Saccharomyces cerevisiae S288C: one gene and its partners. The gene in region 1 interacts genetically with each later gene. Each region holds a gene or a part of one and is shown in the gene's direction. Other genes may lie near its edges. The genes, in order: FRE1, LEU4 and MRX11.

The links.
Region 2: mutations in FRE1 (region 1) and LEU4 together harm fitness more than expected from each alone (negative genetic interaction), as found in Saccharomyces cerevisiae (2 studies listed by BioGRID).
Region 3: mutations in FRE1 (region 1) and MRX11 together harm fitness more than expected from each alone (negative genetic interaction), as found in Saccharomyces cerevisiae (2 studies listed by BioGRID).

What each region holds. Positions count from the first base shown.
Region 1 is NC_001144.5:566,567-577,568, forward strand, and holds FRE1 (ferric/cupric-chelate reductase), read left to right. Parts: upstream 1-2,000; coding exon 2,001-4,061; downstream 4,062-11,002. Other genes in the region: CRR1 (putative glycosylase), read right to left, coding at 88-1,356; cell proliferation protein CDC123, read right to left, coding at 4,210-5,292; peptidylprolyl isomerase CPR6, read right to left, coding at 5,530-6,645; COA4 (Coa4p), read right to left, coding at 6,900-7,352; MSC3 (Msc3p), read left to right, coding at 7,585-9,771; CCC1 (Ccc1p), read left to right, coding at 10,259-11,002.
Region 2 is NC_001146.8:421,007-432,008, reverse strand, and holds LEU4 (2-isopropylmalate synthase LEU4), read left to right. Parts: upstream 1-5,254; coding exon 5,255-7,114; downstream 7,115-11,002. Other genes in the region: DNA-directed DNA polymerase alpha catalytic subunit POL1, read right to left, coding at 1-1,922; MET4 (Met4p), read right to left, coding at 2,256-4,274; phosphatidylinositol-3-/phosphoinositide 5-phosphatase INP52, read left to right, coding at 7,514-11,002. UniProt on the Saccharomyces cerevisiae protein: Catalyzes the condensation of the acetyl group of acetyl-CoA with 3-methyl-2-oxobutanoate (2-oxoisovalerate) to form 3-carboxy-3-hydroxy-4-methylpentanoate (2-isopropylmalate).
Region 3 is NC_001148.4:470,493-480,802, reverse strand, and holds MRX11 (Mrx11p), read left to right. Parts: upstream 1-5,061; coding exon 5,062-5,685; downstream 5,686-10,310. Other genes in the region: MET31 (Met31p), read right to left, coding at 1-268; YPL038W-A (uncharacterized protein), read right to left, coding at 430-621; YPL039W (uncharacterized protein), read right to left, coding at 628-1,578; isoleucine--tRNA ligase ISM1, read left to right, coding at 1,802-4,810; cyclin-dependent serine/threonine protein kinase SSN3, read left to right, coding at 6,096-7,763; mRNA-binding ribosome biosynthesis protein NOP4, read right to left, coding at 8,807-10,310. UniProt on the Saccharomyces cerevisiae protein: Component of MIOREX complexes, large expressome-like assemblies of ribosomes with factors involved in all the steps of post-transcriptional gene expression.

The sequences.
Region 1 (11,002 bases):
ATACATATATATTAGAGCGTGCCTTCATGCAGGGAATTAGAGGATCCGTTACGGAAGAGAGAACTTCGTAAGACATTATTGCTGTGACTATTTTGACCGTTTCCAAGAACTCAACCAGTCATTTATCTTTGGAGTAACAAAGCAGTCCCATTTGAGAGACCCCTCATCATGATGATTCAGTCTGTCTTGCCTGTTATACGAAACGACTACTCTTGACAAATCTTTTTGGGAAAAGGTTGGTGCCTTTTTCTTTGCCTTTATACAAAACTGCACTTGTTCTGTGAATTTATTTTGGTACGGCGTTACGGTGATTTGTTCAACATGCGCCGTAAATTGGCCCTTTTCGATAATATCGGGTGAATTTTCCCAATCTATGAGGCCACCTGCCCAGTTTATTGTACCGGGTCCGTTGGTTTCCGAGCCGCCTGGCCAAACAGCGATTTCTAGTCTCATCGGCGTTTGTGGGTACCTATATTCTTTACTAATGGGGTCCCAGGTATCCTTCTTCAGGACTGTGCGAGCTATTTTACCATCAACATACCATATTATCCTATCCGGGTCCCAATCAATCTCATAAGTGTGGTAAGTGGCCCAAGTGTCAGCGCCTACGGGAAATCTTTGCATTCTTGTGTAATCCAAATGCCCTTGAGAATAGTAGTTTGATTGGGCCGTCATTAAATCACCACCCAGCCACTCAAAATCAATCTCGTCCCCAATTGCGGATGTTAAGTCAAATGCAGTCACCACACCCCTCGACCTCGCCGTTTTCATTCGCACGCTTGCCTTGCCGTATAGAAACGACCTGGTCGATGTGATCAAACTTCCGGTAGTTTTTTTTGGCATAGCCAGAACAATATTCCCGCTACTCGCTTCAATTGATGTGTAGCCGCTATGTGTGAAATCGAAATCTTCCAACATTTTCTCTGCCTCTTTACTGTCTGGAGTGACCAAGAATTTGGCGTAGTGTATGATTCTCTTGGAATTTAGCTCCCCTTCTACTACACCCACCTTGGTATTTGCCTTATTCGGTCCATTTCCCTCTCTTATTGGTGGCTTAGGTTGATAGTTCACAATAAATTTAGGAACCTTTGGTGTGCTAACAAATTCAAGTTTTTGACTGGCGACTAATGCAGGTATAGGAGCACAGCTTTCCTCGTCGAAAGATGACCTCACGTTGCAGCCACCGACACATATCGGTCCAGCGCCACATTCATTATACGGCGAGCAGCACGGCCATTCTGCGGGACAAGGGTTATTTGGAGAACAAGAAATGGAGTTTTTGGGTTTGTATAATTCTCCCAGTGCAAATCCGATGTAGCCAACAACCGGCACCAGCTGTAATATTGATATTCTCATATTTTTATTTCGTGCAAAAGCCCTTGATGATACTCTAAACTAAACGACTGTTCTTGTATTTCGTTATTAATCGATAATTATTAGCTGGTATTGTCTTTTTTTTTTTTTTCCTACATGATCGTCGCGAGGCTTTACATAATTTTTGTGACGCCTTTAAAAGTATAGTAGAACGAGCACATAAGAAGTAAATGAAAAGTACGGCAGATGCAATTGACAGTAAAGAGCGGTACAATAGTTGAAGAATACCCGATAAAAATGTATTTAGGTTGCTTGACGGGTTTGCAGCAATTGCCAAGAACACTAACTGTGGCAATCTTGGTGAGAATCTACTCCCAACCCAAACATTTTCGCCGATATTTTTGCTCACCTTTTTTTTTTGCTCATCGAAAATTGTTATAGCGGCTCGACTTTGATTTACTAATACACCCAATTTCTAATATCCTCAAGGCTAGATCGTTCTCTCAAGGAACTTAAAGTGCCTGATCTTGCGATGATTAATCTACAGCGATGGATACTTAAATCATGTAAAAATCTCAGTTTTGAAGTCGTTTGCTCTCTTCCATGCTTCAGTTCCCTTTTGGAAGGTAATATAATCATCTAATTTCTCGCATATTCACGCCGACGGAAGAACGAGCCGGATCAATATGGTTAGAACCCGTGTATTATTCTGCTTATTTATATCTTTTTTTGCTACGGTTCAATCGAGTGCTACACTTATTAGCACTTCATGTATTTCCCAAGCTGCGCTATACCAATTTGGATGTTCTAGTAAATCTAAAAGTTGCTACTGTAAAAACATCAATTGGCTGGGTTCAGTGACAGCATGTGCCTATGAGAATTCCAAATCTAACAAAACACTAGACAGCGCCTTAATGAAGTTAGCATCCCAATGTTCAAGCATCAAAGTTTATACTTTAGAGGACATGAAGAATATTTATTTAAATGCGTCAAATTATTTGAGAGCACCTGAGAAAAGTGATAAAAAAACCGTGGTTAGTCAACCGCTCATGGCGAACGAGACAGCGTATCATTATTATTATGAGGAAAATTATGGTATCCATCTTAACCTAATGCGCTCTCAATGGTGCGCTTGGGGTCTCGTCTTCTTCTGGGTGGCTGTGCTTACTGCAGCCACTATCTTGAACATTCTGAAAAGGGTGTTTGGTAAGAACATCATGGCAAACTCCGTCAAAAAATCACTTATTTATCCTTCTGTTTACAAAGATTATAATGAACGAACTTTTTATTTATGGAAGCGTCTACCATTTAATTTTACAACTCGAGGCAAGGGTCTCGTCGTATTAATTTTTGTTATTTTGACTATATTATCTCTCAGTTTTGGTCATAATATTAAACTTCCACACCCATATGATAGGCCCAGATGGAGAAGAAGTATGGCCTTTGTGAGTCGTAGAGCAGACTTGATGGCCATTGCACTTTTCCCAGTAGTCTATCTATTCGGAATAAGAAATAATCCCTTCATCCCTATAACAGGGCTTTCCTTTTCTACATTTAATTTCTATCATAAATGGTCTGCCTACGTTTGTTTCATGTTGGCCGTTGTACACTCAATTGTCATGACCGCCTCGGGAGTGAAAAGAGGTGTGTTTCAAAGTCTGGTTAGGAAATTTTACTTTAGGTGGGGTATAGTGGCAACGATATTAATGTCTATTATTATTTTCCAAAGTGAAAAAGTATTTAGAAATAGAGGGTATGAGATATTCCTTCTTATTCATAAAGCGATGAATATTATGTTCATTATTGCCATGTACTACCATTGTCACACCCTGGGCTGGATGGGTTGGATTTGGTCAATGGCTGGTATTTTATGCTTTGATAGATTCTGCAGGATTGTTAGAATAATCATGAATGGTGGCTTGAAAACTGCTACTTTGAGTACCACTGATGATTCTAATGTTATTAAAATTTCAGTAAAAAAACCAAAGTTTTTCAAGTACCAAGTAGGAGCTTTCGCATACATGTATTTCTTATCACCAAAAAGTGCATGGTTCTATAGTTTCCAATCACATCCATTTACAGTATTATCGGAACGACACCGTGATCCAAACAATCCAGATCAATTGACGATGTACGTAAAGGCAAATAAAGGTATCACTCGAGTTTTGTTATCGAAAGTTCTAAGTGCTCCAAATCATACTGTTGATTGTAAAATATTCCTTGAAGGCCCATATGGTGTAACGGTTCCACATATCGCTAAGCTAAAAAGAAATCTGGTAGGTGTAGCCGCTGGTTTGGGTGTTGCGGCTATTTATCCGCACTTTGTCGAATGTTTACGGTTACCATCTACTGATCAACTTCAGCATAAATTTTACTGGATTGTTAATGACCTATCCCATTTGAAATGGTTTGAAAATGAATTGCAATGGTTAAAGGAGAAAAGTTGTGAAGTCTCAGTCATATATACTGGTTCCAGTGTTGAGGACACAAATTCAGATGAGAGTACAAAAGGTTTTGATGATAAAGAAGAAAGCGAAATCACTGTTGAATGTCTCAATAAAAGACCTGATTTGAAAGAACTAGTGCGCTCGGAAATAAAACTCTCAGAACTAGAGAATAATAATATTACCTTTTATTCCTGCGGGCCAGCAACGTTTAACGACGATTTTAGAAATGCAGTGGTCCAAGGTATAGACTCTTCCTTGAAGATTGACGTTGAACTAGAAGAAGAAAGTTTTACATGGTAAGGCCCCTTGTTAATAATTCTTGCACGCATACTTTTGTTATTTTGTTGCTTTATCGGATAAAAGTTAATATAAATCGATGTAAATAATTTTATATAATCATACAACAGGGTAATAAAAAGACGAATATATTCAAATGCGGGTTCTAAATCTAAGTTTCATTCTCACTATCACTGCTTTCTTCCTTTGCCTGTTGAGAGAGTAGTTCTTTCCATTTTTGAGTGAGCTCTCGGATTGCTTCAGGATTTAAACTAGCTTCTACGAGATCCTGTGGAACATGATTTTCGGAGTGCTCTTTTGAAGCGAATCTCCCCGTGTTATGCCTCGTCACTAACCTTAATTCATAATCTTCAACATCATTCTTCGGAGGTGCTATCGCAGCAATCTCGTTCCATGAAAATAGCAAAGAATCTGTCTTCCTGGCAAACGGATTTATATCAACAATGAAGATTTTATTGAAAGGTCTTGGAATATAAACGTCAAGAACGAAACTTTTATCAGGAAACTTGGGCAGGACGACATCATGAACTATTTCATCAATAAGGTCCTTGAAGGTATCTGACAACTCATCTAAATAGTCATAATAATTTAAATCACGCTGGGTGGCCCCAACGATATGCGCATTCTTAACGAAGACCCTAAATTCGAGTGCCGGATTCATATCACACCATTGTCTAAGTACCAAGTCAAATTTCAATCCTTTTATATCATCCCCGTCCACGCAGCCTTTAAATGCTCTTTGAAGGTCATGCATTATGTAATTGGATGCGTTCAACAATAGGTAAAGCTCATTTACCTCGTTACACTTCATAGTGTTATTCGGCAAAATCCAGGTAGCGTCTCTTGGTGCAGACCAGTTTAACTTGGGAGCCACTGCACCTAATTCGTTCAAAGCATCCTTTAATTTCTGGTGTAATTCTGGAAAATCTATCAATGGCTCAACTTCTTGGACAAATTCGGTGGCGGTATCCTCATCGTCCTCCCAATCACTATAGTCATTATCTTCATTTCTTATTATTTCCTCGGTGTACACAGACCTGGAGTTTTCCTCTTGGGGTAGCTTGATACCGTCTTGTTCCAAATATTGAATAAATTTTTTCGGTAAGGATTTTAACACTATGGATTTTGGCACATATTTGGGATACAGTGAGGACCAAAACGAGTAAGAACAGTGTTCAACCTGCGCTCTTGTCACTGGTATATCTATAAAAGTTGTATATTCTTGTGAGGACATCAATAAGTAATTTATGTCAGCGCTTTTTGGACGCACGTTTTAGTTTCACTGGTGGAGTTACGGTATCATTAGCTTCTTAATCTTCCCACTGCATAAATGGACATCGGAAAATATCCGCTTATTATGCCTGAAAAAATAATTTTTTTAACAGAGTTTTCTACGTACTTTTTACTTAACTACTGAGGCAGCGCAACTGTTTAGTATTTAAACATATAAGCATATATATAATGCAAGTAATCAGGAGAACATCTTCGAAAGAGACTTTTTAGCTTTTTCGTTTTGTTGCTTTCTTTTTAATTTAGTATTATGAATAGCTTTCAAAATGGCAGCGTCATTTGGCTGGAAAGTAGTGGCCATTTCTAGGTCATTGAGAGCCATATCTGTGTCATTAACATGGTAATAGGCCAGGCCACGACGGTACAAAGCTTTGGCCTTGGCTTTTTCGTCAGCCGCTTCGGCATATAACACCTCCGATGAGGCTACTAATACTTGCTTGTAATCTTTTAATTTAAGAGCACAGATGGCAATATTCAATGGAATAGACACTTTCAATTGATTGATTTTTTCAATTTGTTCCTTCTCCAAATCTTCTGGGAAATACTCTTTCAAGAATTTATCACATTTGACATATTTTTCTAAAGCCACGGAATAGTTCTGTTTCTTGAACTGTTCAGTACCAATGTTCTTTACCGTTTCGATAGCTTTCAAGACGGTGTCGAAATTCTTCAAGTCAACTTTTTCGTCTTGTTTTAAAACATCTTCATAATTATCGCCGTACTCATCTGTTGGTGTAGCTTCGGCATTCTCTGGCACTTGATAATCGTCAGGTAACACGCCACAGTCATCAATCTTTACATCACGCAATGGCTTGTTGTTTTCTTGGTCACATTGTTGGTTTTCAATCAAACGAACAATTCTTTTACCTTGAATCACTTCACCAAACACAACGTGCTTCCCGTCCAAATGAGGTGTAGGAACACAGGTTATGAAAGCTTGAGATCCATTGGTATTTGGACCGGCGTTGGCCATGGATAGAAGGAATGGTTTATCATGTTTAACAGTGAAATTTTCATCCTCGAATTTTTCATCGTATATGCTCTCACCGCCAGTACCATTAAAATTGGTAAAATCACCAAATTGACACATGAAGTCTTTGATCACTCTGTGGAAAATGGAACCCTTGTACGACAATGGTACATCAGGTTTAGTCTTTGCCATACCAGCATTTCCTTCACACAACTTCAAAAAATTTTCAGCCGTTTTAGGCACTATGTCATTGTACAACTCAAAAACTATACGGCCTTGGGGTTTACCTCCAATAGAAATATCAAAAAAAGTTTTAGGTCTAGTCATTTTTACTCCTTGATCGCCTGAATATTGTCTTACCAGTTTTCTATGTGATGTGAGCGCATCAGCACCTCTGATATTCGACTTATTTAAATAATTTTCTGTCTGAACTTTCTCCAGCTAGGGCGGAAAAATATTCTAGAAGCTCATAGAAATGCCGTTCAAAAGCGTAACAGTTATGTTCTATAAAGGGAAACAATGTGTTTCGATCACTGCAGCTGTCTATTATATACAAGTTATACATCACGACATTTAGATTTTCATTTCTTCTTTTCCGAATCCTTACTGGTCGTCCCATCCACGTCCACTGTGCTTACGCGCTCTCTATTACCATTCTTTTCCCAACACTTCCTAAATAACGCCATCTCGTTGAAGCACTGCCTCCAGTCACCTGTTTCGGCATGGCACAGCTGTAATGCGAGGTTCTCTACGTAGCATCCGGTCTTGGATATTCTCGTGTCCCACACATCCGGGTCTTCGTCTTCTTGGACCTCTTTGTATTCTTCCAGCGCCTGCTTATAATACTCTGAAGTTTCGCCAGTTTCACTCATGACCAGTCTGCCAGTTTTAGCCTGCCAGAGCTTTTCTTTCCCTTTAATCTTCCCTTGTTTGGCGCAACTCTTAGAAGTGCCTTTCACTACCTTTAATGGCTGAGGCCCCTTTTTTTGTTTCGGACATTTGTTGTGAGAAAAAAAAGAAGAAAATAAAAGCATAAATGAAGCGAATGGATGAGAAGAGGGGAGGGAAAGCAAGAACGAGAAGGACAAACATCAGGGACCCATACTTCAATAAATTGCTTGATTTGGTGTTAATCAATTCTTCTAACATCAAACCTCTTTTAGTTTCCTTCGATCGTTTCACGTTGCTTATATTGATTGCTTTTTACTTCTATTTTTTCACTAGAATAAACAAACAAAGACATTCTGTTGATCAAGAAAGTTGAAAATGGTATTTGGTTTTACAAAGAGGGACAGGAGGGTACCTGATTTATCTAGGTATGATTACTACTATCAGAACCATGAAGATTATAACAAAAGTCCTCAGCTCTCTGCTGCTGCTGCCTCTGCTGCTTCTGCCGCATCACCGGATCGAACCAATTACTCAAGGTCGCACTCGCTGGTTAGTCATGCACCTTCAATACCGAGACAAAGAAGTTCGGTAAAGAGCCCAGGAAGAAGGCTTTCCACATCCTCTGCCGCTCCGCCAACGTCCAGGGCAGCAGCTAAGCAGTATTCACAGAAGACTTACTCGTTGAGGTCGCAAAGGAGCGGAGAGTACCATTTACACCCGCCCGGTTATACTACTAATGGGAGCCGTATGAATTCTATGACGTCTGGTGCGAATGTCAGAAGAAACTACGGTAAGAACAAATCGACGGCCGGCAACAATAACGATTCAAGGGCCAACTCCATTACCGTAAAGACTACACAAGTAACAGACCCTTCAGGAAGGACTCAATCAATTACCAAAAAGACAATAAGAAAAATAAATGGGTATGAATACGTAGAAACCACGACTACGACTAAGAATTTGGTTCCATTAGGTGACTCGCAGCGTCATTTCGATGAATTTAGTGAAAATTACATGTTGCAAGATGACGACATTTTAGAGGAACAAGCTAGTGATAACATTCACGATATAATCGAGGAAAACGAAACAGATAACGAAAAGCCATATTCCCCAGTAAGCGAAAGTCATTTACAAGATGATTCAGAGCTAAACGTGGAAAAACCAGATTTCCCACTTGGATCATATTTCCACCATAAGTATTCTACAGACGTTATGCCTCTAGAAGAAGAAAGTAGTTTATCAAACTTCAGTGACGCATTAGATTATATTCCTCCCACCCATCAGACCAGTAGTAAATATATTCATAATAAAAGGAAGCAAGCATCGACGACAAGAAGGAAGAAAAGACCGCCTGCCGTGAAAAACGCAGAAGCAGAGGCCAAGAAACCATTAACCGAAGCAGAAATGTATCTGAAGGCACTAGAGGTTGCTAAAAGAAACGTTTATCACACGGATGCTGCTTCGGATAACGCATCGGCCCCCCTCGGGAGTAACAAATCCAGGAAAAGTAGGATGGGTCAAAAAATGACCTTGAGAAGCAGTAGTGATTCTCCGACGGCGACTGCTAATCTTGTCAAATCTAATGTCGAGGTTCAACCAAAAAGATTTACAAGTTCCTTCTTCAGCAGAAATACTAAAAGCGCCCCCCATGAAGTGCACAATCACTCTGTGTCTACACATTTTAAATCGAATAAGGCTGTTGACCCAGTTCCAGAGCCTAAAAGTGCAAACACAGGGCTAACAGATAAAGAAATGTATGACCAAGCTTTGAAAATCGCACAAGCGAGGTATTACAACTCACATGGTATTCAACCTGAAGCAGTCGATAATAGCACTACGGCGGCTAAACCTCGTCAGGTCGGCGTTAGCCATCTGGGATCCACTGGGAGCATCCCGCCCAATGAGCAGCACTATTTAGGGGATTCTGAAATTCCAGTCCAAAGCGAAGTGCATGAATACGAGCCCATTCCATTGCAGAAGACAAAAACAACTGGTTCTTCCAAAAATAAGTTCAAAACCATGTTCGATAAAGTGCTGCAATTCTCTCAAGAAAACTACGGCTACCAGCACAAGAAGGAACAAGGCGAACAAACTCCAGTTACTCGTAATGCTGAAGAAAGCTTCCCAGCAGCGTCTATTTCGGAAGGTGTGACAACCGCAAAGCCATCTTCAAACGAAGGTGTGATGACGAATCCAGTAGTTACAGATTCACCTTCACCCCTTCAACAACAAATAGACTCGACTACTGCGTCCTCGAATGGGCAAAGTCAGGGCAATGTACCTACCTCCGCAGTAGCTTCAACAACGAGAACAAGATCACCGGAACTGCAGGATAATCTAAAGTCTTCTTCTTCGCTTTTACAGGACCAAACCCCTCAGCGTCAGGAAGACGCCACGGATCCAACAACATCATCGACGAATGAATTATCTGCCGCTGAGCCAACAATGGTCACTTCGACACATGCCACTAAGACAATACAGGCTCAAACACAAGATCCTCCCACGAAGCACAAGAAGTCCAGTTTCTTCACTAAACTGTTCAAGAAAAAAAGCAGCCGTTAGCAGTTGTTTACTCGAATTTTGCAATCAACCCTAATTTTTGAAGCCTGGTTTTAGATTTATTCTCTTCTTTTTCTTCTTGTGAACTTCAATTACTAATGTAACTTAATTTTTAATATAACTTTTACAGTTTAATAATATTGATTTTTTTCGGTCTGGACCAATCGCGCCGCATTTCTCACTAATATTACTAACATACCCTCTTCTCATTGGCTCGGTACCCCTTTCGTGACCCGCATTTTTTGTTTTCTTTGTTAGCCCGAATGTCTCACAATGAAGATGTAAAATTAAGATTATATATGAAAAATTGATACAAAACAAAATAGTTCAAATAATCAAGTTAAAGCGACATCACTCTCAATTTTTGCTTTTTTTAGGTTTATAGAATAGAAATATAACAGAACGAAGCCTTTAGACTCTTTTTTTTTATTGGTATATTGAACAAAGAAACTTTTTTTTTGTCCTCCCATATCTCGTGCACACAAATATTATGTCCATTGTAGCACTAAAGAACGCAGTGGTGACCCTTATACAGAAAGCGAAAGGTAGTGGTGGAACCTCAGAGTTGGGGGGGTCTGAATCAACTCCCTTGTTGAGGGGTAGTAATAGCAATAGTTCAAGGCATGATAACTTATCCTCATCTAGCTCGGATATTATCTATGGTAGAAATTCAGCGCAGGATCTAGAAAACTCACCGATGTCAGTAGGGAAAGATAATAGGAATGGCGATAACGGTTCGGATAACGAAAAGGCGAACCTAGGGTTCTTCCAATCAGTAGATCCTCGCGTAATTAGCGATTTGATTATCGGGCTAAGCGACGGTTTAACCGTCCCCTTTGCTCTAACAGCTGGTCTATCTTCACTTGGTGATGCGAAATTGGTCATTACCGGTGGCTTTGCTGAGTTGATCTCAGGTGCGATTTCTATGGGCCTTGGTGGCTATTTGGGAGCGAAGAGTGAATCTGATTATTATCATGCTGAAGTAAAGAAGGAGAAAAGGAAATTTTACGATAACTCCAACCTAATTAACAGAGAAATTGAAGACATTCTGTTAGAGATTAACCCTAATTTCTCGGACGAAACAATCGTTTCGTTCATCAAAGATTTACAAAGAACACCTGAGCTAATGGTTGACTTCATTATCAGGTACGGTAGGGGTCTAGACGAACCTGCCGAGAATAGAGAACTAATCAGTGCAGTCACTATCGGTGGCGGTTATCTACTTGGTGGGCTA
Region 2 (11,002 bases), on another chromosome or scaffold:
TGCAAACGATGGCCTATGATAACATCTGGGTCTTCCACTTTTAACATAGCACAAAAACAAGATAGCATGGCCTTTTCGTTGTTGAACAACCTGACTCTACCGGGTAGTTTCTGTTTTGCCAGTGCAGCTAAACCTAATGGGAAACTAGTTGACTGAGGCGGCCTTACTAAAGTACACAAGTCGTCTGGTTTTATATTTTCAGGTATCGGTGAATCCAACGAGATATTTCTATATGCTGATAACGTTATCGAAACAATCTCTTGCTTATTTTCCTTGGGATTCATTAACGTCTGAATCGATAAAGATAGACATCTCAGATTAGGCATTGTCTTTGTTGTAGTAGGCGTGATATTCTGAGGCTTATCTACCGAAACTTCAACCGCACAGTGAGAAGCATTACGAATTGAATTGAAATCTGCTCCCTTTATATCTAACCAGCATGGTCCCATAATCCTATTTTGAATAACAAAACTTTCAAAAATATTGGAATTCCCACCAAAAACATGATAAAAGGTATCGCTAGATAAATCCGATGGAATGGTGTCTCGACTGGACTTCGGTGTTTGGTATGGAAGTAAGACTTTCAAATAATCACTTTCAGATGGAATGTCAGGAAGCTCAAACGAATATTTCATTTTTTGAGGTTTAGCGCGGATATTATCCAGTCCATATTTATCCATCAGTAACGGAATTATTTCCTCGTGTATATCGGTAGGTGTTTTACCCTCTCTTGGAAGGAAAAATAGCTCTCTACAGAGACCGTTGATTTGAACCATGGCTGACACACAATTATCATCCTTTAGTTTAACCTTACCAAATAAAATCAAAGTGTTGTTCACTTCACAGTAATCCAACCAAAACATTTGGAAAGTATCAGTTTCCGGATCTACCACATCTTCCTTTTTGACATTAACCGCAAGTGTAGCAACATCGGTGTTGCTCTGCAAAGATTTACTTGGAGTTAGTCCTTTAATACCGATTGGCGTTCCGGGTGCTGTGACAAACGGTGAAGTTGAAGGGTTACTTCTTGAGTCTATATTCACGCGTCTAGTTGTTGTCACACTTCTCATAGTTCTTCTTTTCAGAATAATATCTTCATCACTATCTTCATCATCTTCTTCATCAGCCAAACTTTGAGCGGATGGTGGATTTGCTAGTAACGTATCTTGAAGTACATTCTGTCTCTTTGTGGCTACTACTGGGGAATTTTCCACATCATCCAATAAATCCTGTACATCATTTGCGTAGCGCAGTTTCCTGCTTTGTAATTTTAACGGTGATGATTCGATTTCTAAATATTTATCAGTACTTGAATCTGGATCAATCTTGACTTTTTTAGAAATACCGGCATCATGACTTGACTCATCGTTTCCGTTAACTCTCTTTATTGACGATTTAAATTCACTAGTCGGCGAAGAATTTAAATTTTCCCTTAATTTGGATGGCAGTAAAATATTGGGTTTTTCTACTTCACCAGATTCAAACTCACCAAGAATGTCATCAAAATTATCGATGGGGATACTTTTTTTTTGGGATTTTTTTGCATGTGCTAGCAGTGTTGATTTGGAATGTTGAGTTCGCAGCATATCTGTAATCTGGTGGTCTTTCTCCCTTTTTATATTCTTCTTCCTTTTAGAATCCTTGCTAGCAAGGTTTCCAGTGTCTTCATCACTTGAACTGTTATCAACTTCCCTCCAATCTTCTTCGACACCACGATCGACGTAGCCTACACCATCGTCATCTACAACAAAATCGTCATGCAGCAATTCCTGGCGCTTTCTGGCCCTGTATTCTTTTTCGTCGATTTCGTCGTATATTCTGTCACCATCTGATTCGTCACCTTCGTAATCATCGATGGATGTACCATTTCGAGCGGCTTGCAGCTTTCTCAATTTTTCTAATTTTTCACTTTTAGAAGACATTTTCCACTGTTTATTTTATGCCTTGATACTATTTGGTTTCTAATAGCAGAGTGAAGACAGTTTTTTTTCTCGTGAGTCTGAATTGGTATGTGTTCGTTGTCTAGACCAAGAAGATATATATCATCCAATGAGTAAAGAATTTAATTCAGTAAAATTGGATACACGCGACGCGTTTTACTTATAGGCTAACAAAAAAATTTTAACGCGTTTGAATAGATGTGTGATGAATGAAGAATAGAGATTGCAGGCAGTACAAGAAAAAAGTTATATTTCTTTAAGAAAAATGCACGTATATATATATATATATATAATTAAACTGTATAGTCTGTTATTTTATTCTTTCTGAACCTTCTCAAAAATTTGCTTCTTTAAGCTTTCAGCTTTTTTTATTCCTTCCGTTTCACCGCTACTCAGAACTAAATTCTTTAAAAGCTTGTTTTCCGTTTCTAACGTATGTATCCGTTTTTGTAAGGATGCTGCAATTTCGGTCAGTTCATGTATCGATGATTCTAACTCCTTTTCCTTTAGTTTTTTTTTTTGATGAGATTTTTTCGACTGTATCAATAAATCTTCATCGTCGTCCCCTAACTCTTTCTTGATCAGTTGCTTCTTTTCAAAGCCGTGTAAATCTGCATCGTCATATTCATCGTCTTCATTATCAGAATACTTGCGGTCGACGGGTACTTTTTTATTTTTCAAATCTCCGGAGTGTGATCTTTTTAAACTATTTTCCTTGTGATCAGAAGAACTTGCATTTAAAGTTGGCTCGGATCGTATCTTGGCAATTTCGTCTCCACGCGTCGTACTTGACTTAATAACAGCGTTATTATGATGGACATTATCGTTTCCATTGTTACCGTCACTCTCTCTTGATATTTTATGATCGTTTCGTGAAGGTTGTCGTTGATTGTGAATATTATTACTTTTTGGATGCTTTATGCCCAGTTCCAAAATGGAGCTTAGAAAAGAAGCCTCTGCTACTACACCGTGCTCATTGAACGAAGGCGACGTTGATAAGGTAGTTGGCGCAGCAGTTTCAGCCGGAGAGGGTGGTATTAAGACACTTAAAAGTTCGTTGATGTTTTTTAGAATGGGTGCCTCTTGACTGTCATTGGTGTTGATGTTTTTATTATTATTACTGTTATTTTCCCTAATCTTTTTTTGATGATGATACGCCATTATTGCGGCTATAGCATCTATTTGATCATTGTCAAATCCCGCGCTGATCAACGAGTTATATGCGCCGTTGGGCACGTTGACCCTCGGTAATAGAGTTACTAAAACAGAGGTTGGTATAATTGAATAGTCAGGAACAGTTATATTGGGGGCTTTGTTGGAGCTGTTATTATCGCTGTTACTATCGACTTTGCTTTCCGAATGTTTTCGTTGTTGTGAAGAGGAATTTTGAGCAGAAGTGACATTGCTTAGGGGGGAGGAGCGGTTCGGTGTGTGTGTTGTCCTATGTAGTAGATTTGATAGCGCATCCACTCCATTGTCACCGGTAGTATTGTTCTCAGTTGATGTAATGTCAACATTTGTGAAGCCGCCATGGTCGATTGATGTCATATTAGTTGCGTCAGCGGGAAACTGAGAAGGGCTTCCCATAAAGTTTGGCTCAAAAGGATGGTTATTTTGCATATTGTCGCCAAAGTTGTTTGTTTCGCCGTTATTGCCATTTCTTTTGTTTTTGGACGAAAATCGAGACTTTGATTGGTCGTATTGGGAAGTTAGGAAAGTATTCCTTCTTTGAGTCAAGAAGTGAGGATTTCTTTGTCTATTATTGGTAGAAGGGTCCTCATGCAATACGTCGTGGTTGCTATGGTCGTCATTACCATTATTGCTGTTGTTATTGTTATTGCTCGGCTTATCCTCGTCTGGGAAGATGAAAGAATCGTCGGCAAACGCACTCAACTCAATGGCTAGTTGTTCATCCAAGTCAAAAGGATTTGCATTTATGCTGCTGAAAGTGTCCGCGCCATTATTGTTTGCATTATTATGGGTGGTATTCACATTCCAATCCACATTAGAGAACTCGTTATCCAGAGATGGTATGAAGTTATCCACGTAGGCCAACTGTTCTAAGAGTATTTCTGGCGTGACAGCGTGGTCATATAGGTTAGTGTTGCCCCTATTGGTAACGTCACCTATTAGGGGGCGCCTATTCTCGCTGCTGGTCACCAGAGAAGATGACGATGAGGCTGTTGCCACAAACTGGTCCAACGAGTTCGTGCTCCCCATGCCATTATTATTAGCACCGTTGTTGCTGCTAGGGTGTGTTGCGGTATCTTTGCCAAAGAGATTTATGAATTCCGTGCTGTATGAGTCGCCTTCGTGGGACTGCTCCTGCTTCATCGTTCACAGTGGAAAAAAAGGAATAAAAGTGCTTATCAGAAGTGCGCTTTATTGACGAGAGTCTGTCTAAACAGTTGACGGACAGGCAAGAAGACCTTCAGGAGTTGACTAATATATGAAATGATGTGCGTTCAAACAGACCGTTTCACCTGGCACAGATGCATGTAAACAAGGATATACGTTATTACATGCTACGGCTACATCTAGATTGGGTGGATTTAAGTTGAACGATGAAAGAAAATTCAAGCAATATGCTTGTGTGGCCCGATGACACACAATAGCATGTGCGACGAGACACCAGCTGTGTGCCGGGTGCTACCCGCGCACGTGATTAAAAGGAAACGGGGAAAAAGCCATAGCGGAAAAGTGCTCGAAGAAGCCTCGATAAATGAAGTAAAAAATTCGATATTTTTCAACGACAATAAGACGTATATAAGCATCCGTATGTCCAGCGATTGAGCTTATGCTTCTGTTCTCCGCTTTGACACTTCCACTCGGCTGTTATGACCAGCCCCAGGATTGCTACCGGAGCGGGACCGGCTCTGAGACAGTAGTAGGTTAGTCATCGCTCTACCGACGCGCAGGAAAAGAAAGAAGGCCTCAGAAAAGCTGAGTTGAATGTGTGTCATACTTGGCTGAAAAAATTGTACAGTAACGGCCAGTCACTGTCATGCGCGTGCATGTATGTGCGTGCATGTATGTGTGTATGTATATTTATATATATATAAGCACGGGCGCATGGGAGATGTGCGCTATGGAGTCGCGTAGGTTCGATGTTTTCTCCTCTTGGGTCAGCCTCTCTCCTCTTTCAACGTTCTTTCCATAATCATTTATTGGTTATTTTTCAACTTGACCAGTAAAAAGAAACTTACGTGTAAGTGACTCAGTTCTTTCAAAGGGTATTTTTTGAAGAAAAAAAAGGATTCTCACACTAGAAGTTTACTGTAGACTTTTTCCTTACAAAAAGACAAGGAACAATCATGGTTAAAGAGAGTATTATTGCTCTTGCTGAGCATGCGGCCTCCAGAGCCTCAAGAGTTATTCCTCCAGTGAAGCTAGCCTATAAAAATATGCTTAAGGACCCTTCCTCCAAGTACAAGCCATTTAACGCTCCAAAGCTATCTAATAGAAAGTGGCCGGATAACCGGATCACGAGGGCTCCTCGTTGGTTATCAACAGATTTGAGAGATGGTAACCAATCTCTGCCGGATCCCATGTCAGTGGAACAAAAGAAAGAATACTTTCACAAGCTGGTCAATATTGGGTTCAAAGAAATCGAGGTTTCCTTCCCCTCTGCATCTCAAACAGATTTCGACTTCACTAGATATGCTGTAGAAAACGCCCCAGACGATGTTAGTATTCAATGTCTTGTCCAATCTAGAGAACACTTGATTAAGAGAACGGTGGAAGCATTAACAGGTGCTAAAAAGGCTACTATACATACTTACTTGGCAACAAGTGATATGTTCCGTGAAATTGTTTTTAATATGTCTAGAGAGGAAGCTATTTCCAAGGCAGTAGAGGCCACCAAACTAGTTAGGAAACTAACTAAGGATGACCCTTCCCAACAAGCCACTCGTTGGTCCTATGAGTTTTCCCCCGAATGTTTCAGTGATACTCCAGGTGAATTTGCTGTAGAAATTTGCGAAGCTGTTAAGAAGGCTTGGGAACCTACCGAGGAAAATCCAATCATTTTCAACTTACCTGCTACCGTAGAAGTTGCCTCTCCAAATGTTTATGCTGATCAGATTGAATACTTCGCTACCCATATTACTGAGCGTGAGAAGGTTTGCATCTCTACACATTGTCACAATGACCGTGGTTGCGGTGTCGCCGCCACAGAGTTAGGTATGCTTGCAGGTGCCGACCGTGTAGAAGGATGTCTCTTTGGTAATGGTGAACGTACAGGTAATGTGGACTTGGTTACTGTTGCTATGAATATGTATACCCAAGGTGTTTCTCCTAATTTGGATTTCTCTGACTTGACCTCTGTCCTAGATGTGGTTGAGCGTTGTAATAAGATCCCAGTATCGCAAAGAGCACCATACGGCGGTGACTTGGTCGTTTGTGCCTTTTCCGGTTCTCACCAAGACGCCATTAAGAAGGGTTTCAACTTACAAAACAAGAAGCGTGCTCAAGGTGAAACTCAATGGAGAATCCCATACTTGCCATTGGATCCAAAGGACATTGGCCGTGATTACGAAGCTGTCATCAGAGTCAACTCTCAGTCTGGTAAAGGTGGTGCCGCTTGGGTTATTTTGAGATCTTTGGGTTTGGATCTACCAAGAAACATGCAAATCGAATTTTCTAGCGCCGTTCAAGACCATGCTGACTCCTTGGGTAGAGAACTAAAATCAGATGAGATTTCCAAGTTATTCAAAGAGGCTTACAACTACAATGACGAACAGTACCAAGCTATTAGTTTAGTCAATTATAATGTTGAAAAATTCGGCACTGAACGTAGAGTGTTCACTGGTCAAGTCAAAGTAGGCGACCAGATCGTCGATATTGAAGGTACAGGTAATGGTCCAATCTCTTCTTTGGTCGACGCCCTATCAAACTTGTTGAACGTGAGATTTGCCGTAGCAAACTACACAGAGCATTCTCTAGGTTCTGGTTCTTCTACGCAAGCTGCTTCTTACATCCATCTATCGTATAGGCGTAATGCCGACAACGAAAAGGCCTACAAATGGGGTGTAGGTGTCTCCGAAGATGTCGGTGATTCTTCAGTGAGAGCCATCTTTGCCACCATTAACAATATTATCCATTCTGGTGATGTGTCCATTCCATCTTTGGCCGAGGTCGAAGGTAAGAATGCTGCGGCATCTGGCTCTGCATAAGAACTTTTCTGTATTTCAGGACTTATTCGCTTCTATTTATTTCTATACTTATTTATTTACTTCCTTTCCTTTTTTTTTAACCATATAATTACTAGAAGCACGGATGTCTAAATTAGAATTACGTTTTAATATCTTTTTTTCCATATCTAGGGCTAGTGCTTGTTTTTCTTTTTTTAGTATATTCTTGAACCAAATACGTGTGGGGTGACCCGAAACTTGTTTGGCGGTTAGTGACGAAATTGAAACAAACCTGGAGTTATTAAGAGAGATTTAACTGGAAAACTAGGCATAAAGGACAATAAGTACTCGCTTCATATAGTCTCAACATATTTTTGTTCGCAGAATTGGTGACAAAGGCCACGCAAAGGCAGCAGAATCAAAAACAAATACTCAGTAGCTATGAAAATACTCCTATCGAAACAGCAAACTAGAAAGATAGCAATAGTTTCAGAAACACATGGACTGGTATTTAGGCCAATAAACAGTAAGAACTCTCGCAGATCTACATGTGCCGTGGAATTGGTTCCGAAAGCTGAATTAAATGGTAATGGTTTCAGAAGACTATCTAACCATGAAATATACGGTTTTATTGGTCTCATAGAAATTGAAGGCCTTATGTTCATAGCAACCATAACAGGTAAATCTAAGGTGGCCCAGCCGATCCCAAACAAAACGGTTAACAAAATATATGCTGTGGATTTTTTTTGCTTAAATAATTCTAAATGGGATTTCATGGACATCGATTCATCCGGTTATCCGATTGTTACTAATGATGGAGATTTTGCAATAAGCTCGCCTCCTAGTATTTCCACACATTCTTCTAGATCATCGCTACGTTCTTCTTCCTCTAGGAGTTTGAATGCTCAAGAACAAGCTCCCAAGCATCCATGTCATGAACTAAGAAAGCTATTATCAAATGGATCTTTTTATTACAGCACCGATTTTGATTTAACTTGTACATTGCAGAAACGTGGATTCACGGAACACTCTTTGAGTTTTGATGATTTTGACCGGGAGTTTATGTGGAACTCGTTTCTTATGGACGAAATCATCACATACAGAGACAGACTAGATGTAACGGCCAAAGAACTATTGGATCAACGAGGATTCCTCACGACCGTAATCCGAGGGTTTGCTGAAACAATTTTTAGCTATATTAATAGGTTGAAAGTAGGACTTACCATTATTTCCAGGCAAAGTTGGAAAAGAGCAGGCACAAGGTTTAATGCACGTGGTATAGATGATGATGGCCATGTCGCAAATTTTGTTGAAACAGAAATGATTATGTACTCTTCTCAGTATTGTTATGCTTTCACGCAGATAAGAGGAAGCCTTCCAATTTTTTGGGAGCAGGATACATCTTTGATTAGTCCAAAGATTCAAATTACCAGATCTGTTGAAGCAACACAGCCCACGTTTGATGAACATTTTATAAGACTATTTAAGAAGTATGGGCCAGTTCATATAATCAACCTGCTGTCTACTAAATCTTCAGAAATTCAATTATCGAGGCGATACAAGGAACAGTTGAAAAATTCTGAGAAAATGAAAATCGGTAGAGATGTGTTCCTAACAAGCTTTGATTTCCATAGAGAAACTTCGCAAGATGGGTTTGCAGCTGCAAGTAGGATTATCCCTAAAATAAGAAACACAATTTTGGACGCCGGTTACTTTTCATACGATGTAAAAGAAGGGCGATTAATATCCGAACAAGACGGTGTCTTTAGAACCAATTGCTTGGATTGTTTAGATAGAACAAATTTGATCCAACAGACGATTTCACTGGCCGTTTTCAAACTATTTTTGGAAGACTTCCGATTGGTAAAACCCAGTAGTTTCATCGACGATAATGAATTTGTGCAAAAGGTGAATGCTTTATGGGCCGACAACGGAGATCAGATATCACAAATTTACACTGGGACAAATGCTCTGAAATCGTCCTATTCAAGGAAAGGTAAAATGTCTTTTTCTGGCGCCCTTTCTGATGCGACGAAGTCCGTTAGTAGAATGTACATCAACAATTTTGTAGATAAAGGAAAACAGCAAAATATTGACACACTTTTGGGCAAACTACCGCACCAGCAAGTTGTTGAACTTTATGATCCAATCTGCGAATACGTCAATGAAAGGCTGTTAGAGTCAGAGGAAAAATTCACCACTCATTCTAACATAAATTTGTTTGTCGGTACATTCAATGTTAACGGAAACTCTCGAAGAGCAGATTTGTCAAAATGGTTATTTCCAATCGGCGATAAATTCAAACCTGATGTCGTTGTGTTAGGGTTGCAGGAAGTTATAGAGTTGACCGCAGGGTCTATCTTGAATGCAGATTATACGAAAAGTTCTTTTTGGGAAACTATGGTTACTGACTGTTTGAATCAATACGAAGAAAAATATCTTTTACTTAGAGTGGAACAGATGTCCTCTCTTTTGATACTATTTTTTGCAAGATCAGATAGAGCCTATAACATAAAAGAGGTAGGTGGGTCTACCAAAAAGACTGGGTTTGGTGGTATTACTGGAAACAAAGGTGCAGTAGCCATTAGATTCGATTATGGGGCAACTTCATTCTGTTTCGTTAATACACATTTATCAGCAGGTGCGAGTAACATTGACGAACGTCGCAATGACTACAACAATATCTACAGGAACATAACCTTTCCAAGATCAAAGACAATTCCACACCATGATTCGTTGTTTTGGTTGGGTGACCTTAACTACAGGATAACTTTGACAAATGATGAAGTTAGAAGAGAATTAAGGGCTCAAAAGGATGGCTATATTGATAGATTGCTTCAATATGATCAGTTGACTCAAGAAATAAATGAAGGAGTGGTATTTCAGGGCTTTAAAGAACCGACCCTCCAATTCCGTCCGACCTATAAATATGATTATGGCACAGATAATTATGATACTTCTGAAAAGGCGAGAACTCCGTCTTGGACTGATAGAATCATATATAAAGGTGAAAACCTGCATCCATTGGCATATTCGGACGCACCTTTAAAAATAAGCGATCATAAACCAGTTTATGCTGCATATAGGGCAAATGTGAAATTTGTTGACGAAAAAGAGAAGCTTAACCTAGTTGAGAAGCTGTATGCAGAATATAAGAATACGCATCCCGAAGCACTAACTACAGGTCCTGACGAACTTTCTCATGCAAGAATGGAAAAACAAAAGGAAAGTATACCCTTAGATGCAACCGTTCAATCAGCGGGCATAAAACTAATTGACCTAGATGATACTTCCTCGTGCGTTTCGCCTCTACTTTCTGGTCCCAGTCCCCAACCGTCTGTTGTTGGCCCTGGAGGACTCAGTAACGTATCACCCGATAAAAGTAAGCTCAATGTGCTTCCTCCGCCTCCTCCTACCTCGAGGCACAATAAGGAACCATCTTCTAAACTTCTTTCCCCTACCAAAGAGATTTCCATTGTCAGCGTATCGCCGCGTAAAGGTGAGAGCAATCTTCCTGCCTTAGAGAGACACAGTACACCCAAACCACTGCCGCCAGTGCCCGCTTTATCTTTATCTAAGCCAGTCTCTTTACAGAAAAGTTCTTCAGAATTACAGCATGCTAAAGAGACCATAGATAATGGGAAAATTGTTCCTCGACCTTGTCCTCCTATTAGAAGGAAGAGCAGTACTGCCCCGGACGAAATCTCTACATCTACCAAAAATTCAGGTGTGTCCACTACAGAAGATCCTGAGCCAGCAAAGGCCTCCACAAAACCTGAGAAGCCACCAGTTGTCAAAAAACCGCATTATTTAAGTGTTGCTGCTAACAAGCTTAACACCTCTCAAGAACACTCAATAAAAGTTTCCCCGTCGAATTCAAAATCTGAAGAGGAACTCCCTTGCAAGAAAAAGTCTAAACCAAAAGTTCCT
Region 3 (10,310 bases), on another chromosome or scaffold:
CCTTGCTATGGTTGTTACCTCCTGTTCTTTTTGTTTGTGTTTCTGGAATCCTTATAAGACCTCTAGCCATATTTTCCGGCTCCCCAGCCTTTAAAACATTTTCTGGTGCTGGTATAACTGCGCTCAATGGGCTGGATTGTCGAATTCTGTGGAGTAGCTCTCGTATTATGGGGTCCGTATGAGTGGGACTTGATGAGATTACCGCTATAGCTTCTGCCGCTTGTTTGAGAAATATTTCATCTACATTCATGTCTTGCGCCAGTTTCATATGCACATATAGACTATCGACTGTGTATATTGAGCCCAACTTGTTAATGATCAAATCTCTTTACGTACTGAGGAACGGCTTTTTCTTTTTCTTACCCATGTTATATTTTGCATTAGAACAAAAAAAAAATTGATGGGCTAGCAAAATTTTTAGACTAAAATTTAGAGGCAAGATATGGTTCTGTAAGACTCGAAAAAATTCTCATAATATATACTTGCTTGTGTGAAAGTGTTCTTTTGTTTTGTTTTTTTTTCTTGTGTATAATTATACATGTTTTTTTTGCCTTTTGTACTCAAGAAATCATAAATGGAAATAAAAATGACCCTTGAATGATGAACAAAACGACAAACCATACTTTATTAAACTATCCTAAAAGCTTCTTGTACTAACTTTTTACCCATTTTGTTAAACTCCTGTAATTCTGTCACCAAAACATATCCGTTACTTTGACCCGACCATTCACCAGAGTCACTTACTTGGGTGGGTTCGATCCCACACTCAATTAATGATCTAGAATGCAAACCATTTGGTGTGTCTGGGATAAACGTAGTTTGTCGATATGTATCGGCATCAGCCCCCATGCTATGCGTTTCTTCATGTTCCGACCGCCTATCTTGGCCTTCCCCATCGGAATGGCTATGAAGCGAGTATGCCCTTGTATGTACATGTAGATCATCAGCTGACCTATTGGTAGAGAAAAAAGGTGATGCTGATGAATTGGAGTTCATAAAAGAACTTCTGAGGAAGTACGAATGTTGTTCACGTCGAGATAACATTTGCCTGCGTTGTTGTCTACTCCGCCGAATAAGTACAGGCCTCACAATAGAACAACAATTTATCACTTCTTCCAGTGGCAAGCCTGTTATCTGGGAATAGAGATGATAGGTTTCATCCCTCGTGGTAATCCTGTCGCGGTCATCGCCTACAACATTTGGCACACTTAAGATGAAAGCAGCTACAAATAGTTTGTGTAAGCTGAACTTTAAAAACTTCATGTAGTTAGTTTCCTTCGAGCAGCAATCTAGAAACTTGATGACAATGCAACAGACCTTTTTGAACTGTAAATGCGATGATTTGGCTCTGTGTAGGATTATTTCTAAAAATTTGGTTGTTTTCAAATGATTTGTGCCAATAATTGCATTGTCATCATCACTAGGCATGGTAACTAATAGGCTCGCATACCGCTGCATAATCCCCTTAGTCACTTGCGCTATCATGAACTTTTTCAATACCACTTTTTGCTTTTTAAATGACAACTCAGCAGATGCCATGTTATCAGCACCGCTCAAATTATACTCCTCTTTCAGCATCCCCCAGCGTGAATAATTCTACCCCGTATTCTTTAAATATTTAACATAGATGGCGATGATGTGTCGCCCCATATAATGTACTTTAAAAACAATAAAATCCTGTTCTGAAAATGTCGATTCTTTTTCCGCAAGCGAGTTAAGAAACGCAGAAAAACAGCAAATATAAAGGACCAAGGCTAGAAGTTATGGAACACAGTATACTAAGAACGATCTTTAGCTACTTATGAAGCGCTCCAGGCTTGTGCCTCAACATATCTTTAGCATTATTAGCAAGCGATATCTCGCCAAACATGCCTACCAAAAAACATTAAACTTGCCCAAGACCAAATTCCCTAATAGATCAAACTTAGAGATTACATTGAGGGAATTAATACCAAAATCTTCGCAGTTAGTTTACAAGGAGCAGCTACGTGATTTCTTCGAAGAATTTTCAAAGCTTAATACGACTGATGAAAAATTAGAGTTCATTAAAGAAAAGTTGTTCATCTTACATGATGGACCGCCCTATGCCAACGGCGAGCTCCATCTCGGTCATGCTCTAAATAAAATTCTGAAAGATATCATAAACAGATATCAACTTTCACAGGGGAAGTACATTTTTTATAAGCCTGGCTGGGATTGTCATGGACTACCCATCGAGATTAAAGCTTTGAAAGATTTAAGCGCGCAACAGATCGAGTCAATATCGCCTTTAAAAATCAGGTCAATGGCTTTAAAACATGCACAAAAGGCAATCAAGAGGCAAAGGGAAACTTTCCAACATTTTGCCATCTTAACGGACTGGGAAACACCATACCTAACAATGGATAAAGACTATGAAATTAATCAGCTAAATATTTTTAAAGAAATGTACGAAAGAGGACTGATTAAGAGACAGAACAAACCGGTTTACTGGGGTACAGAAACTAGAACAGCGTTAGCAGAGGGCGAATTAGAATATAATGAAAACCATAAATCCATCGCTGCTTATGTTAAATTTCCTCTTGAAAAGAAATCCCAGATGGATCTGTGCAAAAAACTAGGAATAACGAATAACTTGCCTATATACTGTTTGATTTGGACCAGTACTCCATGGACTCTTCTCTCTAATCGAGCAATCTGTTTCAATCAGGATTTTTCCTACTCCCTATTACGCTTAAATAGTGAACTTATCCTTGTAGAGACCGGCTCCATTGATAAATTGGGCCTAACAACTAACTCATTTGAGACTATCAAACAGTTTCAAGGAACTCATCTAAATGGGCTATATTATCAAAACCTCTTAGTAGACGATAAGGTTGGCAGGCCCTTATTACATGGTGCACACGTTACCAGCGGTACAGGGACTGGATTGGTTCATACAGCACCAGGGCATGGACAGGATGACTATCTCATTGGTATTCAAAATGGTCTTGAAATTTATTCTCCCGTGGATCACCAGGGCCGCTACCAATTAAATGAACTTCCTCAGTCCGTCAGATCCATCGTGAGAGATGAAGGAGACTTAACAAAAGGTAGGCAAGTATTGGATGCCGAAACCGCGAAAATCATTCTATGTAAGTTAAGCGACCTTAATTTACTTTACAAATCTCACGAATACACGCATTCTTATCCGTACGACTGGAGATCCAAGAAACCTGTCATAATAAGAGCTACTCCACAGTGGTTTGCAGATTTACACGATGTAAAAAACTTGGCTCTGGAAAGCATCAGCCGCGTCAAGTTTTGTCCTAAAAGAGGCTATTCAAGACTTTCATCCTTTATGAAAAGCAGAAATGAATGGTGCATATCTAGGCAACGCTCATGGGGTATCCCTATATTAAGCTTTTACAAGAAGAGCGAACCGGATTCTGTTTTGATGAATTCAGAAATTTTGGCACATGCCATAGAAAAAATCAAACAAAAAGGAATTAATGCATGGTTTAACGATAAAGATAATGACATGAAAGAATGGTTGCCAGAAAAATATCACGACGTAGCGCATGAATACTGTCGTTCTCAAGATACTATGGATGTGTGGTTTGATAGTGGGTCGTCATGGAGTGTGATCAAAGACTTTTATGAAAAAAGCTTAAAGTTGTCAAAACTCCCATCCCCCCTGTACCAAGTTTGTCTAGAAGGATCTGATCAACATAGAGGATGGTTTCAAAGTTCACTGCTAACAAAAGTAGCATCAAGTAATGTCCCTGTTGCACCATATGAAGAAGTGATTACTCATGGTTTTACCCTAGATGAGAATGGTCTGAAAATGTCAAAATCTGTGGGAAATACAATTTCTCCCGAAGCAATAATTCGAGGCGATGAAAACTTAGGCTTACCAGCTTTGGGTGTTGATGGCTTGAGGTATCTGATAGCACAATCGAATTTCACAACTGATATAGTTGCTGGCCCGACTGTGATGAAACATGTAGGAGAAGCTCTAAAAAAGGTTAGACTAACTTTTCGCTATTTATTGAGTAATTTACAGAAGTCCCAAGATTTCAACCTTTTGCCGATTGAACAATTACGCCGTGTTGATCAATATACCTTGTATAAGATAAACGAACTGCTGGAAACGACGAGAGAACACTACCAAAAGTACAACTTTTCCAAGGTTCTCATTACTCTACAATATCATTTAAATAACGAGCTATCGGCGTTTTATTTTGATATCTCAAAGGATATTTTATATTCCAACCAAATATCGTCATTGGCAAGAAGGCAGGTCCAAACAACGCTTGTCCATATACTAAATGCATATAGGGCAATTCTTGCACCAATATTACCCGTTATGGTCCAAGAAGTATGGAAGTATATACCAGAAGGATGGTTACAAGGACAAGAACATATAGACATTAATCCGATGCGTGGAAAATGGCCGTTTTTGGACTCAAATACGGAAATCGTCACCTCCTTTGAAAACTTTGAACTAAAAATTCTAAAACAGTTCCAGGAGGAATTCAAGAGGTTAAGTCTAGAAGAAGGTGTCACCAAAACAACACATAGTCACGTTACCATTTTCACCAAGCATCACCTCCCATTCAGTTCTGACGAGCTTTGCGACATATTGCAATCATCTGCTGTTGATATATTGCAAATGGACGATAATAATAACAGTCTACCAACTATTGAATTGGGAAGCGGAATAAACGTTCAAATATTGGTTGAACGAAGCAAAAGGCACAACTGTCCCAGATGTTGGAAGGCCAACTCAGCCGAAGAGGATAAATTGTGTGACAGATGTAAAGAAGCTGTGGATCATCTCATGTCTTGAATGACATGTACCTTTCCTGTATATAAAGAATGCCAATTATTGGCTCTTAGAAAATAAAAACCCTCTTGTACTTATTAGTGGGTACCTAACAGGTCCCCTACTGACATTTTGATGCAGGGCCTCGGCCTATTGTTCTTACCAGCTCTCAGCGCGTTATACGAACAGGAAGCAAAGAAGAGAAATGTAAAAATATTGCTTTTGAGAGACCGTGTAAGGATAAGTGTTACACCCAAGGCACCCTCACCAGGAACATGACTGTCATGAATCTTTTCTTCAGGCCCTGTCAACTGCAGATGGGCTCTGGACCGTTGGAGCTCATGCTTAAAAGGCCAACGCAATTGACCACGTTTATGAACACCAGGCCCGGCGGATCAACCCAAATTAGATTCATATCGGGAAATTTAGATCCAGTGAAAAGAAGGGAGGATAGACTACGTAAAATATTTTCCAAGTCACGACTTTTAACAAGGTTAAACAAGAATCCTAAATTTTCACACTATTTCGACCGCCTCAGTGAGGCCGGCACGGTTCCAACACTTACATCATTCTTCATCTTGCATGAGGTAACTGCCATACTACCACTGTTTCTACTATGGTGGTTACTTTATAACCTCGATCTTTCTGATGATTTTAAGCTCCCAAACTTCTTAAATGGCCTAATGGATAGCTGTCATACAGCTATGGAGAAATTTGTTGGTAAGAGATATCAGGAATGCCTCAACAAAAACAAGTTGATTTTATCTGGCACAGTAGCCTACGTTACAGTAAAATTACTATATCCGGTACGCATTTTCATTAGTATCTGGGGAGCACCATATTTTGGGAAATGGTTGCTTCTTCCCTTTCAAAAATTAAAGCACCTTATTAAGAAATAAAGCTTTTTTTTCCTTTTTTTTTTCTGGCCCAGAGACGGATTATTGTTTTCAGTTGAAGTTGCGCACTCGGCATATGATTTATAGATTCCCAATATATTGTACTTCGTTATATATGTGTTACGAATATTTTTGATTTCGTTTTAGAGAGTTTTGATTAGAGGAAATTATAGCTTTTTTTAACAGTGAAATAAATATCATACATCAAAAGTCTTCAAGAATTACGTGGTGTGGCTTAAGTTGCGTTTCATTTTCCCGCTTCAATACTTGAAAGTTATCCCACAATCACTGCTGACAAAAAGGATACAAGAAAGGTTTATAGGAAAGAAAAAAGGCGGAAGGGTATACTGAAGTTAGTAATTTTGCTTCCCAATTGAATTAAGGCCGCCTAGTTTTGACGGGAGGAGAGAGAAATGTATAATGGCAAGGATAGAGCACAAAACTCCTATCAGCCAATGTACCAAAGGCCTATGCAGGTACAAGGACAACAGCAAGCTCAATCGTTCGTTGGAAAGAAAAACACAATCGGAAGTGTGCATGGAAAAGCCCCGATGCTAATGGCCAATAATGATGTTTTTACTATTGGACCTTATAGGGCAAGAAAAGATAGAATGCGGGTATCTGTCTTAGAAAAGTACGAAGTTATTGGCTACATTGCTGCGGGCACATATGGTAAAGTTTACAAAGCGAAAAGACAAATCAACTCCGGTACCAATTCCGCTAATGGTTCTAGTCTGAATGGTACCAATGCGAAAATTCCGCAGTTTGACAGCACGCAACCAAAATCAAGCTCTTCAATGGACATGCAGGCAAATACAAACGCATTAAGAAGAAACTTGTTAAAGGATGAAGGAGTGACCCCCGGAAGAATACGAACTACGAGGGAAGATGTATCCCCGCACTATAATTCCCAAAAACAAACCCTCATTAAAAAACCGCTGACGGTATTTTATGCCATTAAAAAGTTCAAGACAGAGAAGGATGGCGTCGAACAATTGCATTATACGGGAATATCTCAGAGTGCCTGTAGAGAAATGGCATTATGTCGAGAATTGCACAACAAGCATTTAACCACATTAGTGGAAATTTTTTTGGAAAGGAAATGTGTCCATATGGTATACGAATATGCGGAGCATGATCTGCTACAAATTATCCACTTCCATTCCCATCCCGAAAAAAGGATGATACCACCAAGAATGGTTCGGTCTATTATGTGGCAGCTTTTAGACGGCGTATCGTATCTTCATCAAAATTGGGTGCTTCATCGAGATTTGAAACCCGCAAATATAATGGTGACCATAGATGGATGTGTTAAAATTGGTGATTTAGGTTTGGCCAGAAAATTTCATAATATGCTGCAAACCCTCTATACTGGGGATAAAGTGGTTGTCACTATATGGTACCGTGCACCTGAGTTGCTATTGGGAGCACGGCACTATACCCCTGCGGTTGATTTATGGTCCGTTGGCTGCATTTTTGCAGAACTGATAGGATTACAGCCCATATTTAAAGGTGAAGAAGCTAAACTAGACTCTAAAAAGACTGTTCCATTTCAAGTGAATCAACTACAGAGAATTTTGGAAGTTCTTGGCACTCCCGATCAAAAAATTTGGCCTTATTTGGAGAAGTATCCAGAATATGATCAAATTACGAAGTTTCCAAAGTATAGGGATAACCTTGCTACATGGTATCATTCCGCGGGAGGAAGGGACAAGCATGCTTTAAGCTTACTTTACCACTTGTTAAATTATGATCCAATTAAAAGAATAGATGCATTTAATGCGTTGGAACATAAGTACTTCACAGAAAGTGATATTCCTGTTAGTGAAAATGTATTTGAAGGTCTAACTTACAAATACCCGGCAAGAAGAATTCACACGAACGATAATGACATCATGAATCTTGGATCAAGAACGAAAAACAATACACAAGCTTCAGGAATCACCGCAGGTGCCGCTGCAAATGCGTTAGGTGGGCTTGGTGTTAACCGTAGAATTCTGGCCGCGGCAGCAGCAGCCGCTGCTGCGGTGTCAGGAAACAATGCATCAGATGAGCCATCTCGAAAGAAAAACAGAAGATAGGCTTCTATTTTTATATATATTTGGAATTTTTCATTCCACAGCACTGTCACTATTATATTCATTAAACTTTTTTTTATCTTTATAGTATTTAAATCGGCATACAGTTTCAATTTTTCGCTTTAGAGGCACTAAGAATGCAAGTCTGCAACATTCAGGTAAAATAATGGGTTGATTTTAGGTCGAGCTAAAACCCTGTTCTCCGCAGATGTATGCGAATTTCGTCATAATTCATCTCAACTAATGGGGCTTTAAAACATATGAATATCTCATGCATTCCCAAAAAAGAAGAAAGAAAAGACTTCAAGTACCCCCCTTAATTTTTATATAATGGTAGTAGTAGGTTTGTTCGTAACTTATCGGCAATAGTAATATGTTCCCATTATAACACATCTGTTAATGGTATTCAGGTTAATAACCATAGCAAAAAATATAAACAACTTTGTACATTTTCCATAAAAAAGAATGACTTTACGAAAACATTGGATGAAACAACCAGTTCATCCCGTTCAAAGTCTAAACTACGTATAAAGTAGAGTTATCATCGGTTAACAAAGTACATTGTGTAGTATGTAGAAGGGCTGAAACCATCAAGAAAAGGAGGGACACGCTCATACAAAGGAGAAGTCATGAATTCTAAATGTATCTAATAAGATACGTGAATTCAGCATCACCTAGTTATTAATGACCAGCCGAACCTAAAAGTCATTGCACAAACAATGTAGAAACATAGCTAATTTTACATACTTTTATTTGCGGTCTACTTATAACCATTATGTATATCATGGGAAATAAATAATTCTCGTCTTGCCTATTACTTCAAACGGAACGTCTAGGAGCGATACTGGTAATAAGGTTTCAGTATGATTTACTGAGATGCTGGACAGTATATGTAGAGAGTTTCTCGCGCTTCTCGTAAAACAGTACTAAAATAACGACATAAAAGCTTTCGAGTACGTTAGAGATTCATCTATCTACTCTTTGAAAAATAATGTACATACGTAAAGAGAATACAAATCGAAATTCCTATAAATATGGTTCTACCTCTATTTTTTTGCGTGCTTTCTCTTACGCTTGAACCCGATTATTCTCTTTATATCATCGCCCATCTTTTTGTCATCGGGATTGGTGGGCGTCGTTGCTTCTTCTTTTTTTGGCTTCTTATTCTCGGATTCTCCGACATCTCCAGTATCTTCATTATCTGGTCTTGTTCTCTTGGTTCTTGCTTGCTTCAATTGTTCCCTTCTTCTCTTTACGACGTTAGAGTTCTCAATCGCAAATTCAACACAAAGACGTCTTCCTTTGCCTAAGTCATTGTCTACTTGTTTCTTTTCATCATCATTCAAACCCTCTAAAATTTCATCGGAGGTAACGGCATGACAATTCAACCACCTTAAGCCCATCAAAGCGTTTTTATGATCTCTGAATTCTACAAAACCGTAACCTCTACTTCTTCCCGCAGTTGATCCTTTAACTTCCATTATAACTTTTGCTTGCTTGACAACACCACTTTTTTTGTCTTTCTTTTTTTGAGCTTCAATCTCATCTGGACCCATGAACTTGTATTTTTCCTTTGTAGATCTGATAATCTCTTCTTTACTCAATGGATGTCTTTCCTTATTTTTAACTTCTGTAGCAAATTCCACGACAGCTTTACGAGCTAACGCCTTTAATGCTTTATCATTCATTGCTCTAGGAAGATTTCTGATAGCCAACCTAGTCATCGACAAATGCAAAGATGGGTTCTTTTTCAGTTGCTCCACTCTTAATTTGTAAGATTTTTCTCTGATCTCCATGTCAGTGTTGGTTAACAAATCAGCCATTTTTGAGCCTTCAACAACTCTACCTTCATTCAGCAAATATAAGTTACGTCTATCTTTTTCGCCTGGCGCTTTACCTAGGGCCTCCTTTCTTTTGGCGGCGTTCTTTTCTGCCATTCTTCCAGCATCCTCTCTTACTAACGTTGGAGTAATGGACAGAACACGACCTTCATACACATACTCAGGCATGACATCATCACCTATCAATAAAGAGGTAGAGCCAGCCGCAGGCGCATTTTTGATACACTCGTTATATGTATATTGGTCTTTGAAGGCTACAAAGGCCGTACCTTTAGCCAACCCCGTAGACTTATCGATAACAGGTAATGCGTATTTAACGCTGCCAAATTTACTGAAGTGCGGAGCCAAAGATTCTTCAGTGGCATCATAAGGGACGTTACGAACAAAAACAGAAAAATCTTCCCTTTTGTTTTGTGCTTTACGTTTCGATTCTTTGTTTTTTGAAGCTTGATCTACTTGTCTATCTTCCTCTTCATTTTCATCTTCTTCGTCGTCATGGTTTTCTTCAGCATCTTCATTTCCTGACTCGTTATCATCTTTGTCATTCATTTCTGGCTGGGCTTTTTTGTAATCTTCCCATCTGTTTTTTTGAACAGCAAAATCAACAGCCACCTTTCTACCATCAATTTTCAAGTCTTTGGTGTTTTCCAAAGCAATTCTACAATTACTGATTTTCTTCATAGTAACAAACGCAAATCCACACAATTTA